2 linked regions of the Canis lupus familiaris genome follow. The protein of the gene in region 1 purifies or fractionates together with the protein of each later gene. This does not show direct contact. Links are inferred from orthologs where the notes say so. Each region holds a gene or a part of one and is shown in the gene's direction. Other genes may lie near its edges.

Region 1 (6,783 bases):
AAAACCCCCAAAAAAAACCTCGGTACTCAGCGACAAAATAAAAGTGTTAAGCAAAATTCTCTCTCAGGTGCTTTTCAGGATCTAAACTGATTTTTTTTTTAAATTCACGTTTTTATATAGAAGTAGCCAACAGTCTGCCAGGTAATAAAGCTTATCAAAACAATCGCCCAGCTGAAAATAGGAAAAGCAAGCCCTAGTATGATGGTTTTCTGGAGATCTGGCAAAGCAAGGAAAATATTATAACCCTATAGCTTTAGGAAAGCCAGTTCATTTAAAAGCCAGTGAAGTGGAACTTGTGGCCACCTTTTATTCTTCTTCTTCACCAAAAGGCCTATCGTGCCTATTGTGTCTCCAATGAGTTCTGTCTCTGGTTCTGATGGAATAGCCTTAGAGTTAGTGGGTTGAAAAATCACTTGTATAATTCTCAGGACTCCAAGCTCTAACCAATCGCTATTGAGTCATAAACTAAAGGAATATAGAAACAGAGAATCAAGACCCTATTTTTCAAGAATATCTAAGCAAAACATATCAAATCAGTGAGAACATATTGGTTGCCTTCCACCAAGTGCAAAAGCTTACATTATGTGCTGTATAGTATATAAAAATACAAGTGCCAAAATTAATGACGTAAACGATCATTTCTTTAGTAGGCTACAGATGACCAAGATGAATGTGGATTTCCAAGGTGTCTTGGAGAGGTATGCTAGGGTTTCAGATGGACGGGCTTATGTAGGAGCTAATGAAAATGCCCTTGTGTGGAATAGGGTCTCATAGGTGAAATATTGGCTGGCTGGGGTGGGGGTGAGAGGTAGTGGATGCCAGGTTGCACTGAGGTAAAAACATTAAAAAAAAACATACCCAGGTTAGACTGATACTTAGTTACTAAACTAACTAAATCTCTTTAGAGAGTGTCTGGAGCAAACATATATTTCAGATAATAAGAATAGGATTTTTAGAGAAGAATCCTATAAGAGTAGGAAGAAGCTTTCATGCCTTGTGGGACAAGTTTGAGCAGGAGAGGGATGTGATAAGCTTGGTACATTGATCAGCTTAGTTTGGCATAAATCATTTGGAAGAGACTGGAAGAGACAAAGTCTGGGACAAGGTAAGAGAGTGAGATGATGGGGCACCTGGGTGGCTCAGTGGTTGAGCATCTACCTTTGGCTCAGGGCATGATCCCGGGGTCCTGGGATCAAGTTCTGCATCAGGCTCCCCACAGGGATCCTGCTTCTCCCTCTGCCTGTGTCTCTGCCTCTCTCTGTGTCTCTCGTGAATAAGTAAATAAAATCTTTAAAAAAAGAAAAGAAAAGAGAGTGAGATGATGATTGTTGGACTACGTGGTAGCAAGAGCAAGTAATGAGTGGAAACAATTTCTGCAAGAAGATATTAAAGGGAGAGGAAACGGGTGGCTCAGTCAGTTAAGTGTCTGCCTTGGGCACAAATCATGATCTTTGAGTCCTGGGATGAGCCCCAATTTGGGCCTCCTGCTCAGCAAGGGGTTCTTCTTCTCCCTCTCCCTCTGCACCCCTCTCTGCCCTGCTTGTGCTCGTGTGTGCTCTCTCTCTCTCCCTTGCTCATTCTCAAATAGATAAAATCTTTTTTTTTAAGGCATATAAGAAAATATTAAAGGGAAAGAGGAAGCTAGCAGCCTGGAGCCAGTTTTGGAGGGAAGATGTGATTAATTTATTTGGGACTTGGAGTTGGAGAATCATTGTCGTTATCAAATGGACATGGAACACTTGCTATGTGAAAGGCATTGTATCCAAGTCAGGAAATACACGAGATAAGTGGTACCTGCCATTAAGTAATATGTGATTCACTTGGTGGGAAGATAGGACAGACTTGATTTGTTTATACATCAAGAGCATGCAAGTTAATACCCTAAACGATAATCCAATTTCAAAATATGCTTGACTATAAAAGGACTTACATGGCTTTATTAGGTGCTCTGCTGTCCTGGTCTTATTTTCCTTGGGCTGATTCCATTCCTTGATCACCTCTGCTGATGAAAGTGAAGTTGACTAGGTGTTGAGGAAGTTTAAAAAAGGTTAAAACTGATAATTCACAAAATGAACAATCCATCATCAGATAATTAAGCGTTTGTTATAAAACAATTTATTACAGAACTATAGAGTAGTTCCTTAAGTTGGGGGGAATCCTCTAAAACTGAGTTTTAACTTCATTTTCTTCCAGAATCACTGTGCCCTATCCTTCCTTTACCTTACTTCATTCAACAGTAATATAGATACTAACTGGTCAACTTACATTTTTGTGAAGTTAACCTGAAACATCGACATTGGAACTATTTTCAAAAACAAAAGTACTGATTGCCAGAACATGCTTTTAGGATTTCATTATGATGTATCGTCAGGGTAAGGATAGTTCAAAACGGCTTCTGGAAGAAGTAAATGAAGAGCTTGTTGCCCACACCCTGTACTGCCATCAAAGAAACCATTCCTGAAGATTTCTTTCATTGTTTCATATTTGCTACTGATAGCAGTTAGTATGAGAGAGCCGATGCATCTGTACAAAGGATTTTAGTGGACACGTGTATATTCTTTATCATTTATAAACTAATCCAATGGCATAGACTGTAAGAACATTGTTTATAGTGGCATTTTTCAAACTTCTTGGTCCTAGGAGCCTTTTATACTCTTAAAAGTTATTGAGGCACTAAAGAGCTCTTGCTTATGTGGGTCTGTTGATATTTGCAATGTGAGCTATTAAAACAGAAATTTTTAAAACATTTATCAATTCATTTTTTAAAACCTATTTTTTAAGAGTGTATTTATTCATGAGAGACACAGAGAGAGAGAGAGGCAGAGACATAGGCAGAGGGAGAAGGAAGCTCCCCACAGGGAGCCTGATGCGGGACTCCATCGCAGGAACCCAGGACCATGCCCTGAGCTAAAAGCAGATGCTCAGCCACTGAGCCACCCAGGCACCCCTAAAACCTATTATATACTAACATAAATAGCATATTTTTAATGAAAAACAATCAGTTTTCTAACAAAATATAGTGAGAAGAGTATCATTGGTTTACATTTTTGCAAATTTGGTTTAATAGAAGAGAGCTAGATTCTCATATTTGTATTTATATTCAATCTGCTATGATATATTGTTGTTTTAACTGAAGTATATGTAAAATGTATGAAGAAAATATGATAGTTTTGACTTTCCAGACTCTCTGAAAGGATAAGTATTATGCCCTTAAAACTCCAGAGGTACATTTTCCTGAATCTGATAGATGTTTAAAATGATGAGTTGTTTTGGGATCCCTGGGTGGCGCAGCGGTTTAGCGCCTGCCTTTGGCCCAGGGCGCGATCCTGGAGACTCAGGATCAAATCCCACGTCAGGCTCCAGTGCATGGAGCCTGCTTCTCCCTCTGCCTATGTCTCTGCCTCTCTCTCTCTCTCTCTCTCTGTGTGACTATCATAAATAAATAAAAATTTAAAAAAAAATGATGAGTTGTTTTCTTAGTTACAGTAATGTTCTTCTCGGGAGATGACTTAGGTCATTATCTTTGCTTCTCTTTCTTCAGGTGATCTGGTGATTCTTGATGATGCTCCCACTGCCAGCTGGCTGCAGGGCCGAAGCTGCTGGGGTGCCCGCGGCTTCTTCCCATCCTCATGTGTGCGGGAGCTCTGCCTCTCCTCGCAGAGCCGGCGGTGGCACTCCCAGAGCGCCCTGCTCCAAATTCCAGAATACTCAATGGGACAAGCCCGGGCACTGATGGGGCTTTCAGCCCAGTTGGATGAGGAGCTGGACTTCAGAGAAGGGGATGTGATTACCATCATTGGAGTTCCTGAACCAGGCTGGTTTGAAGGGGAATTAGAGGGCCGAAGAGGCATTTTTCCAGAAGGGTTTGTAGAGCTTTTGGGGCCCCTTAGAACTGTGGATGAGTTGGTAAGTTCTGGAAATCACAATGACTGCATTATTAATGGTGAAGAAGAGACCCCTACAGGAGAAGAGGAGAGGGGGCCAGAGGAGGATGAGGAGCAGCCGGGGACCTATGGAATTGCCCTCTACAGATTCCAGGCCCTGGAGCCGAATGAGTTGGATTTTGAGGTAGGTGATAAAATCCGAATTCTGGGGACACTGGAAGATGGCTGGCTAGAAGGATCACTGAAGGGCAGGACAGGCATCTTTCCTTACCGATTTGTGAAGCTGTTTTCTAAAACAAGAGCAGAGGAGACCATGGACCTGCCAAAGGAAAGCAGCCCTACTGAAATCCCTGACACTTCCTTAGATTGTCGAGAGAACCCCTTAGTGGTGGAGGGAAGGCACAAATCTCCTGAATATAAAGCAGAGAAGTCCAACTGTGTCATTTCTGAAACATCTGCTTCTCCCCTGGAGCATCTGACTTCTGAGTGTGAAGTACACAAAAGCTCTCATCAGGATGAGGGCACCTCACGGGGGCCCCCAAGAAGCCCAGGCTGGGGCCATGAACAGCCTCTTGCCAGACACTCTCCTGCAGAGGATCCTTCAGAGACAATCAACGGGGTTTCCTCCCAATCTCAGGTACCTTTTCGTCCCAGATGGCAGCAAAACCAGTATTATTCTACAACAGGAAGGGGCCACCTAAGCACAGAGCAGTACTCTGACCCTCTTCCCTTAGAAGCCAAAGCGAAAGACTACTCCAGCCGGCCTCCCAGAGGAATGTACTCTCCACCAAAAACCTTTCAGAAGCCCGTGCCATCTCCTCACGGTAGCTCTTGTCCTTTGGCCCCTAGGGTGGTCAGACCTAGCCTGCTGAGCTCTCAGCTCCAGAGCATGGTTAGAGGTGCTAAAAAGTACCACACACCCAAAGAAAATGCCTCCAGCTTTTGTTCTGCATCAGAGAGATCAGAAGTGAAGGCCGGTCTACAAGACAGGGCGTTTACAGCAGACTTGATAGCACTGGGGCAGGGAGGAGGCCACACTGACCTGGATTCTAAGTTGACACAACAGTTGGTAGAGTTTGAAAAGAGCCTGTCAGGACCCGGTGCAGAACCAGAGGCAATCTTGCGCCACTTTTCAATCATGAACTTTAACTCTGAGAAGGACATTGTCCGAGGTTCCTCAAAGTCAATCACCCCACAGGAGCTGCCTGAGAGGAGAAGAGCCCTCAGGCCCCCACCACCGCGTCCCAGTACTCCAGCATCCACCTCCCCCCATGTGCTTCTTGACCAGAACCTGAAGCCGGAACCACCCTTGGCAATGCGACCCTCTCGCCCAGCTCCCCTGCCTCCCTCGGCACAGCACAGGGTGACTGCAGTCACCCCCGGGCTCTTGACCCCCGGGCTCTTCACCCATGAGAGCTGTGAGTCCCCAGAGAAGGAGGGCCCTGAGAACCTGGACCAGACTTTGGACCAGACTTCCCAGTGTCCACTCGTATTGGTGAGGATTCAGGAAATGGAACAAGACTTGGATATGTGTAGCCCAGCTCCAGAAGAGCCGAACTTAACACTGGAGGAGAAGCAGGATGAATCTCTAAGGGCTGAGACCCCTGAGGATCTTGAGTTCTATGAGAGCAACATTGAAAGTTTGAATATGGAACTCCAGCAACTCAGAGGTAAGTGACGACGAAGTACGAGGTACACATTCCTTGACATCCACAAGTCCACATAACAGCCTCCCCATGTTTTTCAGGGAGATGTTACCATCTTTGATTGACAAAGAATGAGTTGCTTTTTCATTACCTAATTTCTTACTCTGTCTCCCAATTCGACTGCTCTGTTTTGATATATCTTACAACTGTAGCCTCCTGACTTCACTTGCTGCTCAGATGGAGCAGCTGAGACCTCTGACATTTATACCTCCTGTGGTGCTAAGGCCTCCGTAGCAGTCCTATATGTGGGAGGTCCTGAATATAATGACCTTCTTTAACCAGGCTCTAATAAGGATTAAAGACTTCTAGGCTAAGATTCATGAAAAAACTCCATCTTATAACTTTGTGGTTTAAGGATTAGGTTTCAATAGTAACTGTAAGAGTTAACAATTATTAACTTGTTCATAATATGGACTTGTTACCATTTGCTTGCACAAATAATCCACAGCCACCCTAAATGTCTTGGGGTAATGCATACAGCTGCTTGATAAATGAGGAAGATAAGATTTGTAGAGAGTGAGTAGCTTACCAAGGGAGCTGGGAGCTCCTGTTTTTACTATAGTTTTCTGCTTTCCATCTTGTGTGTTCAAAAATTTTCTGTCCCTTACCTGAGGGGTGACTCACCAGCCTCAGGGGACTCCATTCACGTTCACCAGATTCACATGAGAAATGATTTCTAGAGGAGGAAGAGGCAGAAAGCAAGGCAACATCAGCAGTCTAGGGCCCAAGGACGACATGGCCGTGTCACTTTAGGCAGGTATGCCAGAGAGCTCTGAGCCCATGTGTCATCAGGGCAGAAAACACTACAGACTAATCTGTGGACATAGGGCCTACAGGATACTAATGGATAAAGGCGGGAGAATGGTGGGCCAGGTACACGGACTCCCTTCCCTCTACTTCAGACTGCTGAACGTGACTGAGAAAATAAGTTCCGAGGAGAAAGAATATTATGGGAAGGCCAGAAATTGAGTCATTTTCTGGAAGATGGAAAGCAGATGGTACTACAGAGAGGAGACTTCTATCTGAATATGCTCAGGAGAGGACTGCTCTACAAGGGAGCACAGGTCTGAGGGAGACCTGTGGCAGACTCAGAGGTGGGGCAGTAGGAGGGGGTCCTGGAGCAAATTTGGTGTGATGAGTTGGGGAAGAGCTAGGCCACTGAGCCCTCAGGTCACTGTGCTGATTGGGGGCGG
Region 2 (7,358 bases), on another chromosome or scaffold:
GACCTGGGTGTGTGACCAGGGCATGAGGTTCTCTGCTCCCTCCCCTCCATGACCCTGCCCCCAGCTATGCCACTGATCTGGTGGTCTGCGTGGCTCTTGGATGTGACATGTTCGACTGCGTCTTTCCCACAAGGACTGCGGTGAGGCCCTGGGCAGGGGGCAGACGGGGCAGGGGGTGTTGCAGGGGTGGGCAAAGTGGGGGTGGGGCCAGTGAGCATGAAGATCTGGTTGACCCATCTTCCCTTCCTCCACCCTTCCCCCAGCGCTTTGGCTCCGCTTTGGTGCCCACCGGGAACCTGCAGCTGAAGAAGAAGCAGTATGAGAAGGACTTCCGACCCATAGACTCCAACTGTACCTGTCCCACCTGCCAGAAGTAGGGGAAGATGGGCCTGGGGGCTGGGAGAGGGTGTGGAGGGGTGCAGGACTCTGCATGGCTGAGCCTCACCTCCTGTCCACAGGCACAGCCGGGCCTTCCTGCACGCACTGCTCCACAGTGACAACACTGCTGCCCTGCACCACCTCACTGTCCACAATATTGCCTACCAGGTGGGCCTACGGCCAGGGTGGGCCAGGCATGGTGTTGGGGGAGGAGGTGGTGGTCATGGGGGAGGATTCTGGGGCCCCTTGGCTGAGACCTTGGCTGACGCCTACCCCCTGCAGCTGCAGCTGATGAGTGCTGTGCGTGCCAGCATTGTGGAGAAGCGCTTCCCTGACTTCGTGCGGGACTTCATGGGCACCATGTATGGGGACCCCACCCTCTGTCCCACCTGGGCCACTGAAGCCCTGGCCTCTGTGGGAATCACACTGCGTTGATCTGGCTTGGGGGAGGGAGGGAACAGGAGGTATTGGAAGGATTTTTAAAAAATTATTATTCTAACTTAGACTATCTGTGCCTTCTTGGGAAGGTGGCCTGTCTCAGTCCTCTTCTTCCTCTGAGTGTCTCTGTGGCCAGTGTTCCCTCCCCTTGTTGATAATAATAAGTAACCACAGCAGCAGCTGATATCTGGAAACTACCTGGCTCAGCCCAGCATAGAGGATGCGCCACAGTGTGGGAGCTGCATCCTTTTTCCTCTGGCTCAAGGCCTCCAGCTGTCCTGAGAGGGGCACCTCTTGTTCCCCCACTTTTCAAAAGTGAGGAAACAGGCATAGAGGGAAATAGCTTCCCCAGGGTCACCACTGAGAAGTAGTAGCCTGGCTCCAGTGCTCATGCTCTTAGCCTTGACTCTTGACTTGTGGCACAATTTTGCTGTCAGTAAACATGGTGAGGACGGTAGGTGTGATCCAGCCGGTGCTTACACTGTGCCTGGTACTGTTCTAAATGGCTGTTGTCTGTGTTTAGTTCTTGCCACCCTATGATGCACGTGTAGCTGCATTCCCCATTTTACAGATAAGGAGACAGGTTTAGAGGAATGACATGAGCAAATAGGCGCATGACTTAACCTAGATATGGCCAATTACAGAGCTGCTGCTCTGAGAAGATAAGGGTTTTTATATTGAGAAAGTAATCCAAAAGTAGGATCCACTATTCCAATAGCATAAAAATGCAACTACTTTCATCAATGTGTGTATTCTCTCAGAGGTTTTCCATGTGTATATATTTTTCATGAATGTGGGCCTCCTTTACGAGTGGTTCTGTATCTTTTTTTTTCTCTCAGTATATTTCAAATTGTTAACATGTCGGAACATGAAGACTTCCTGTGTTTCTTACAGTTCTTGCACAGTATTTATTTAACCAGCTCAGAGAAGGAGCTTCTAGGGTGTTTCCAGGTTGCCGTGGTGAAGGCTGCAATGCCACGCCTTGTCTCGGTTGACTTTTTTGCCCATCTCTCTGCAATCGGGGTTTTAGGTCTTGGAGCAGGCATATACCATGGGCCACTCTGCCGTCCTCCTCCCCACTATTTCTCTATTCCTCCGATACTGCCCCATACTGCCCCATACGGCCCACTTCCCTACCTCCATGGCATCTGACTCCTTATTGGGCTGCTTCTCTGGCCAATCCACGCCCAGGGGATCAAATCACTTCTCATAAAATCCTTCCACCTATCTCAGGCTTTTTTCCCACGAGGTCAAGATTCCTAGTTCCAACACTGCAAAATAGTATCTTTTCAAGGGGAGAGGATCCGTTGAGTTTCATTGGGTGCTCCAAGAGGTCACGATGCGCTCAAGTTGAAGAGGTAGGGGAACAACGTTGCAGCTGTTAGCCGAGTCAAGTCGTGGCGTGAGCGGAGGGTGTTCCTAGGAAAGGGCACAAAATTTGTAAAAGCATGAAGGTGGGACTTTATAGGAATAAAAGGGAGAGACAAGGATGCAGCGCCAGCCCGCCTCTCCCTAGGAACCACTAACGCCCGATTAATCTTCAAAGTGTATTGCAACCCCGCGCGAAGAGTTGGTTTGCAAGCCCGGGGCCGAGATGCGTTCTGGGACTTGTAGTTTTCTCTAGAGGCCGGAAACGCAGAAGCGATTATCATTACCAGGTCCCACCACGAGGTGTCGCCCTTCTTTGAGTACCGTGGCCCTTCTTTACTCCAGAAGACTCTAATAGACCTACAACAATCACAAGAACGGGAGATTCTTTGATTGACAGCTAAGTTCTCAATCAAAGTCAGGATTCGGAGGTCAACGCCCGTCCTCTTTGGCTTTGTTGGTTGGAGGAACGGAGTGATATTTATATAAGCCAATGGGAAATTCTTAGGGAACTAGGTAGTATCAAGTGACAAACCAGAGTCTATGAATCGATCCCTAACGTCATTGGCCCGCACTGTTGACTGGCCCGTCTTCCTGCCAATGAGACTTAGGTTTTCTTGCCGTCAGGGACCTCCCCAAGATGGGCGGGGCCAACAGTGCCTTTTCCCGAAACACCGCCTCCTGGCCTTGACAACTCGCTGCCCCACGCTATTGGCTCTTGCGCAGAAACGACAGTTCTGGCGTCCAATGCGCCCGCCGGGAGGTCCCCAGGGGGAAGGTCTACTCAACCGGAGACCTATGCCTCTCTTTCATTGGCTCCTGGGTACGAGTGGCAGCGGGGCCGGCCAATCGGGGGCGGCATGAGGGCTTTGGGCGCAGCCCCGGGGCCCGGGCGGGAGGTCGCTCGGGTCGGGTGTCGTCTGAGAACCGGATGAGGCGGCGACTGTGAGGCCGAGCCGGGAGCGGGCGTCGCGCCGAGGCCCGGGCGGGCGGGGAGCAACGGCCGCGGACGCCGCGGGGCCGCGTCGTTAAGGGCCGGGGGCAGGCGGGGAGCGCGGGGCGCTCGGGCCGGGGCCGCCGGCGCCATGGGCAACCGCGGGATGGAAGAGCTGATCCCGCTGGTCAACAAGCTGCAGGACGCTTTCAGCTCCATCGGCCAGAGCTGCCACCTGGACCTGCCGCAGATCGCCGTGGTGGGCGGCCAGAGCGCCGGCAAGAGCTCGGTGCTCGAGAACTTCGTAGGCCGGTGAGCGAGCGCGGCGGCGACGGCGGGCGGGCGGCGGCCTAGGGCGCGGAGGGCGGACCGGGAATGGCGCGCCCTGCGCAGCCGGCGTAACTGCGGCGCTTGCGTGCCCGCGACGGGGACGGGGACGGGGAGGCGGGCTCTGTGGGACGCCCCGGGCGGAGGGCTTCCTGCCGGGCTGGGGAGCCGGCTCGGGCCCTCGGGGCGTCTCACCGGCCGGGGGGCGTGGGCCAGGAAGTGCGGTGGACCGTCGCCGACTCCTCTGTGCCCAGCTTTCCACGGCCGAGCTCTACCATCGGGGGGTCAGGGTCAAGTCCCTCTTCCCTGTCTGTCCGAACCCTGCCAGCCAGATACCTATTGGTTCGACCCCTGTGGTCTGGCTGGCTGTTCACTTCTCTGGAGCAGCCCCTGCCGTCTGGTTGGCCGTCGCTCTGTCCTGGATGGAACTCCTTGCCGCCACCATTTGGCTGTCCATCTGTCCAGTCCCTCCGGGCAGCCCCCCGCCGCCTGGCTAGCTGTCTAGGGCGACCTGTGCTGTCTGGCCGCCTCGCAGACTTTCACACTTAGCCGTACCTCTGTTGGGTTACGCTGGCTGGCTTCTGCAGTCTGGCTGGCTGGCTGGACCCTAGGGTCTCTGTTGTCTGGTTCTCTTAGGCTGACTCTAAAGCTTGGTCCCTTGCAAATACTGACTTCTGGCCCAAATTGATCCTTTCTTCTGTCTGTAGAGGTGTCGAGCCTTGTCACTGCCTGCCCTTCAGTGCGCTGGCAGTCCCTGGCTGTCTGGCCCTACCCCTGCAGTAGTGGGTAGGGGGAGCATGCAGTGGACAAGGGAGCTGAGGGATGAAACTTGAATTTCTGTATCAGTTGGAAATAGGATCCTGGGAGGAACTTTCTGCTGGATTCTTTCCTGACCCTTAGAGTGTTCTGGGGCCCCAGAACACAGGGGCCAGCTCCCAAGCGAAAACCTGCAAATTGGCGGCTGTCTGTTGGAGCCTGATCAGGCTTTTGGGTAGCTCTGAGAAGCCTCAGTTTGCCCATCTGTCCGGTGGGCAAACTCCACTCATTGGGTGGTTTCCAGGATTCAGGAAGCTGATGAATGAAAATGTGTGGCTTCCAGGGGTGTTTGGTTCTTTCCTCTCCCTTCCCCCCAGTCTGCCCTTCTGCCTCCCAGATGGGCTGTCACTTCTCCATTCTGGGACAGACTCCATTTGTGCCTGTGGCTGCCAAGTGATAACATCACAGTCATCGTTATTATTACTGTGGCTGTTATTGGTGTTGAGGGGTAATGTTCATCTGGCAGGCCCCAGGCTGAGTTCTTTTGTCAGCATCTTAAACCCCACAGAGTGAGGTGGAGGTTCTGTTAACCCCACCTTACATACAAGCAGGGAAGCTCAGAAAAGACTCATCCTTGGCCCAAGAGCACCAGGCTAGCACTTAGTGGAACCCAGCTGGGTGCCCAGCCCCGCCTTGCCTTCCCAGAGGCCTGAAGTTTTGCTCTCAGCGGCACGAATTTCCTCCTTTGCTGCTTTGTCTCTGGCGCCTTGCCTGTTGTCCAGTGTGGCGGAAAGGTGTGGACTTGGGGTCAGCTGCGCCTGGCCTGAGCCTTGGGCTGGGCTGTGGGTCCCGTTTGCATGGTTATCTTCTTGCCTGCCCAGGCTTTCAGTGGGCACACAGCAAAGTTCTGTCCATTTCATTTGCCTTGTGACCTTGCACAGGTAGTTTGGCCTCTCTAAACTTCAGTTTCCCCTTCATCATGGCGACAAGACTGTTGCCATGGTGCAGGGACCTGATATGTTGGAAGTGCTTACTTAACACAGTGTGTGGCACACAGTAGGTTGACATGGACGGGCTGTTATTCACCATGCTGTTCTCATGTCAGCAGCAAAAACTAATCAGGATGAAAGTGCTTTTGAGTTACATGCTGGACTGTATTTAAGTCTTATGAGGCGGACTCTGCTTTGACCCCATTTTACAGAGCAGAAAACCGAGGCTCAACTGAGCACTCTTGCTCAAGGCCATTCGGTGAGGAATTCAGGGCTCTAGGTGGTGGGGGGCTGGGGTTTCTTTCCCCTGTCCTCAGTCTGTCTGGCGCTCGCCTTTCTCTCTTACCCACCCACCCACGCAGTCATCTACTGAGCTGGCTCCTGTGGCAACCTCCTCCCAGAAAGCCTGCAATGTGACCTTGGTCGTTAAGAGCATTAGTTCAGGGCCTGAGAACCAGACTTGTAAAAAAAGGCTTCTCGGGTATGGGTTGCTCAAACAGAGCTATCTTCTTTTTATTTCTGGAGTGTGGGTAAGGTCTCTTAGCTACCAAGCCCTGCCGTAGGGGGTGGCAGGCGGGCCTCATTTTGAATGAGGACCTGTTTGCTTCTTTGCACTCTGGACCTTTACAGTGGACATCTTGGCTAGTTTCAAGGGACAAATGAGAGCGCATGTCGAGGGCCTGTGCCTGGGGCTCAGCACGGGCTGCTCTGCTTCATTGCCTCTTTCTTGTTGGTTTTCTAAGAATGTGGTCCAAGTGAGGATGGCCCAGTTAGCTCAGCCTATACCAGTGGTGGCAGATTGGCAGCCCTGGGGTGCCGAGGCCTGCTTGCTGGTCTTTTGTTTCACCTGCACAGCATTTATAAAATCTTTTGTTTTTAATTAACTGCCAGTAGTTAAGTTTCACATCAAAATTCAGATTTTGGCAGTGCTTAGCAGACACTCACAGGTCTTTCTAGAATTTAGTGCTGTAATACGTGGGCTCCAGGCCTTCGGTCTGGCTCCAGCATGTTTGGTTGTGTGACTTTGGCTAGGTGGACTCAGGTTCCTTTTCTATAAAATGGGGTAATAGCTAGACCCTCCCCAGGGGGACTGCTTGAGTTAATGGGCGTCGAGTGCATTGACTCTATCCCCATGGCCATTTTTTTTAATCCCCTCCGACAATTTATAATTGTCGTTATAATCATATTCTGGCCTCCCTGGGCCCAAGTCTTGGTTGGCACCAAGTCTTTGGATCTCAGAAGCAGCAGCCACTGGCTTCCAGGTCAGACGAGGAGTGGCCACGTGAGCTGCCACACTCCTCACTACTCCCTAGTACTCTCCCAGCCTCAGTTTACATTTGCTTGGAGACTCTTGGCCCTGGAAACCTGAATTTAAAACCCTTGGCTTGTCCACTCGGTACCAGCATGTGGCTCTAAGGAGGAGGGGGAAAGATGTGGCTCTCCAGTGACTCTGGTCTTTTAGCCTCAGCAGCCAAATGGAGGGAGGAGCTGGGGAAATTTTTCATTAGGAGAAGCAGAGGAGGAAGCTGAAGTTTAGGCTTCCAGCCCAGAATCCCATAGGGCTGGGCTTGATCCTGTGAGACATTCCTCCTCTGAGCCTCAGTAGCCCCAACTAGGGAATGGGGCTGTTAACTGGATCTACTCGGGCCCCTTTGAGGTGGTAGGACGTGTGTGTTTCAGCTCTTAGGGCAGATAAAGTCACCTGATGCCTGCTGTTGATGATGGAGTGAGGACTACATGTCTGGGAGAGTGTCTAGCAAAGTGCTTAAAACGCTCTGTAGTTTTCATTTGTTCATTGCAGAATGTCTTCTGAGCACGTGTACTCTGTGCCTGGCCCTATTATGGGGCTGTTGTGGACACAGCCCTAAGTAAGATACCAAAACCCCTGCCCTGGGGGGAGGCAGCCTTCCAGCAAGGGCTGGTAGATAAGGAAGAAACAGGTTGGAAAAATGATAACTTAGGAAAAGAAGAGCAGGGCAAGGGGAAGTTAGGGTCTTAAATAGGGAGACAGTTGAGGGCACTCCTTGGGAAAGTGACATTTGAGCAGAGGCTTAAGGAGGTAAGGGAGGAGCCACCAGTGAAGATTTGTTGAGGTGTGGGGGGAGGGGAGAGCATTTCAGGCTGTGGGAAGAGCAAGTGCAAAGGCCCTGAGGTGGGCATGTGCCTGC

What was found. Proteins that work in one complex are often made in the same cells at the same time.
Region 2: the proteins of DNMBP (region 1) and DNM2 purify together in Homo sapiens (co-immunoprecipitation; 3 studies listed by BioGRID and IntAct, with this or other methods). This does not show direct contact. The link is inferred for Canis lupus familiaris from reciprocal best matches to the Homo sapiens genes DNMBP and DNM2.

Annotation. Positions count from the first base shown.
Region 1 is NC_049249.1:12,996,371-13,003,153, reverse strand, and holds part of DNMBP (dynamin-binding protein), read left to right. Parts: intron 1-3,541; coding exon 3,542-5,554; intron 5,555-6,783. UniProt on the Homo sapiens protein: Plays a critical role as a guanine nucleotide exchange factor (GEF) for CDC42 in several intracellular processes associated with the actin and microtubule cytoskeleton.
Region 2 is NC_049241.1:50,882,540-50,889,897, reverse strand, and holds the start of DNM2 (dynamin-2), read left to right. Parts: upstream 1-3,127; 5' UTR 3,128-3,269; coding exon 3,270-3,430; intron 3,431-7,358. Other genes in the region: QTRT1 (queuine tRNA-ribosyltransferase catalytic subunit 1), read left to right, coding at 65-140, 264-373, 459-546, 661-813. UniProt on the Homo sapiens protein: Catalyzes the hydrolysis of GTP and utilizes this energy to mediate vesicle scission at plasma membrane during endocytosis and filament remodeling at many actin structures during organization of the actin cytoskeleton.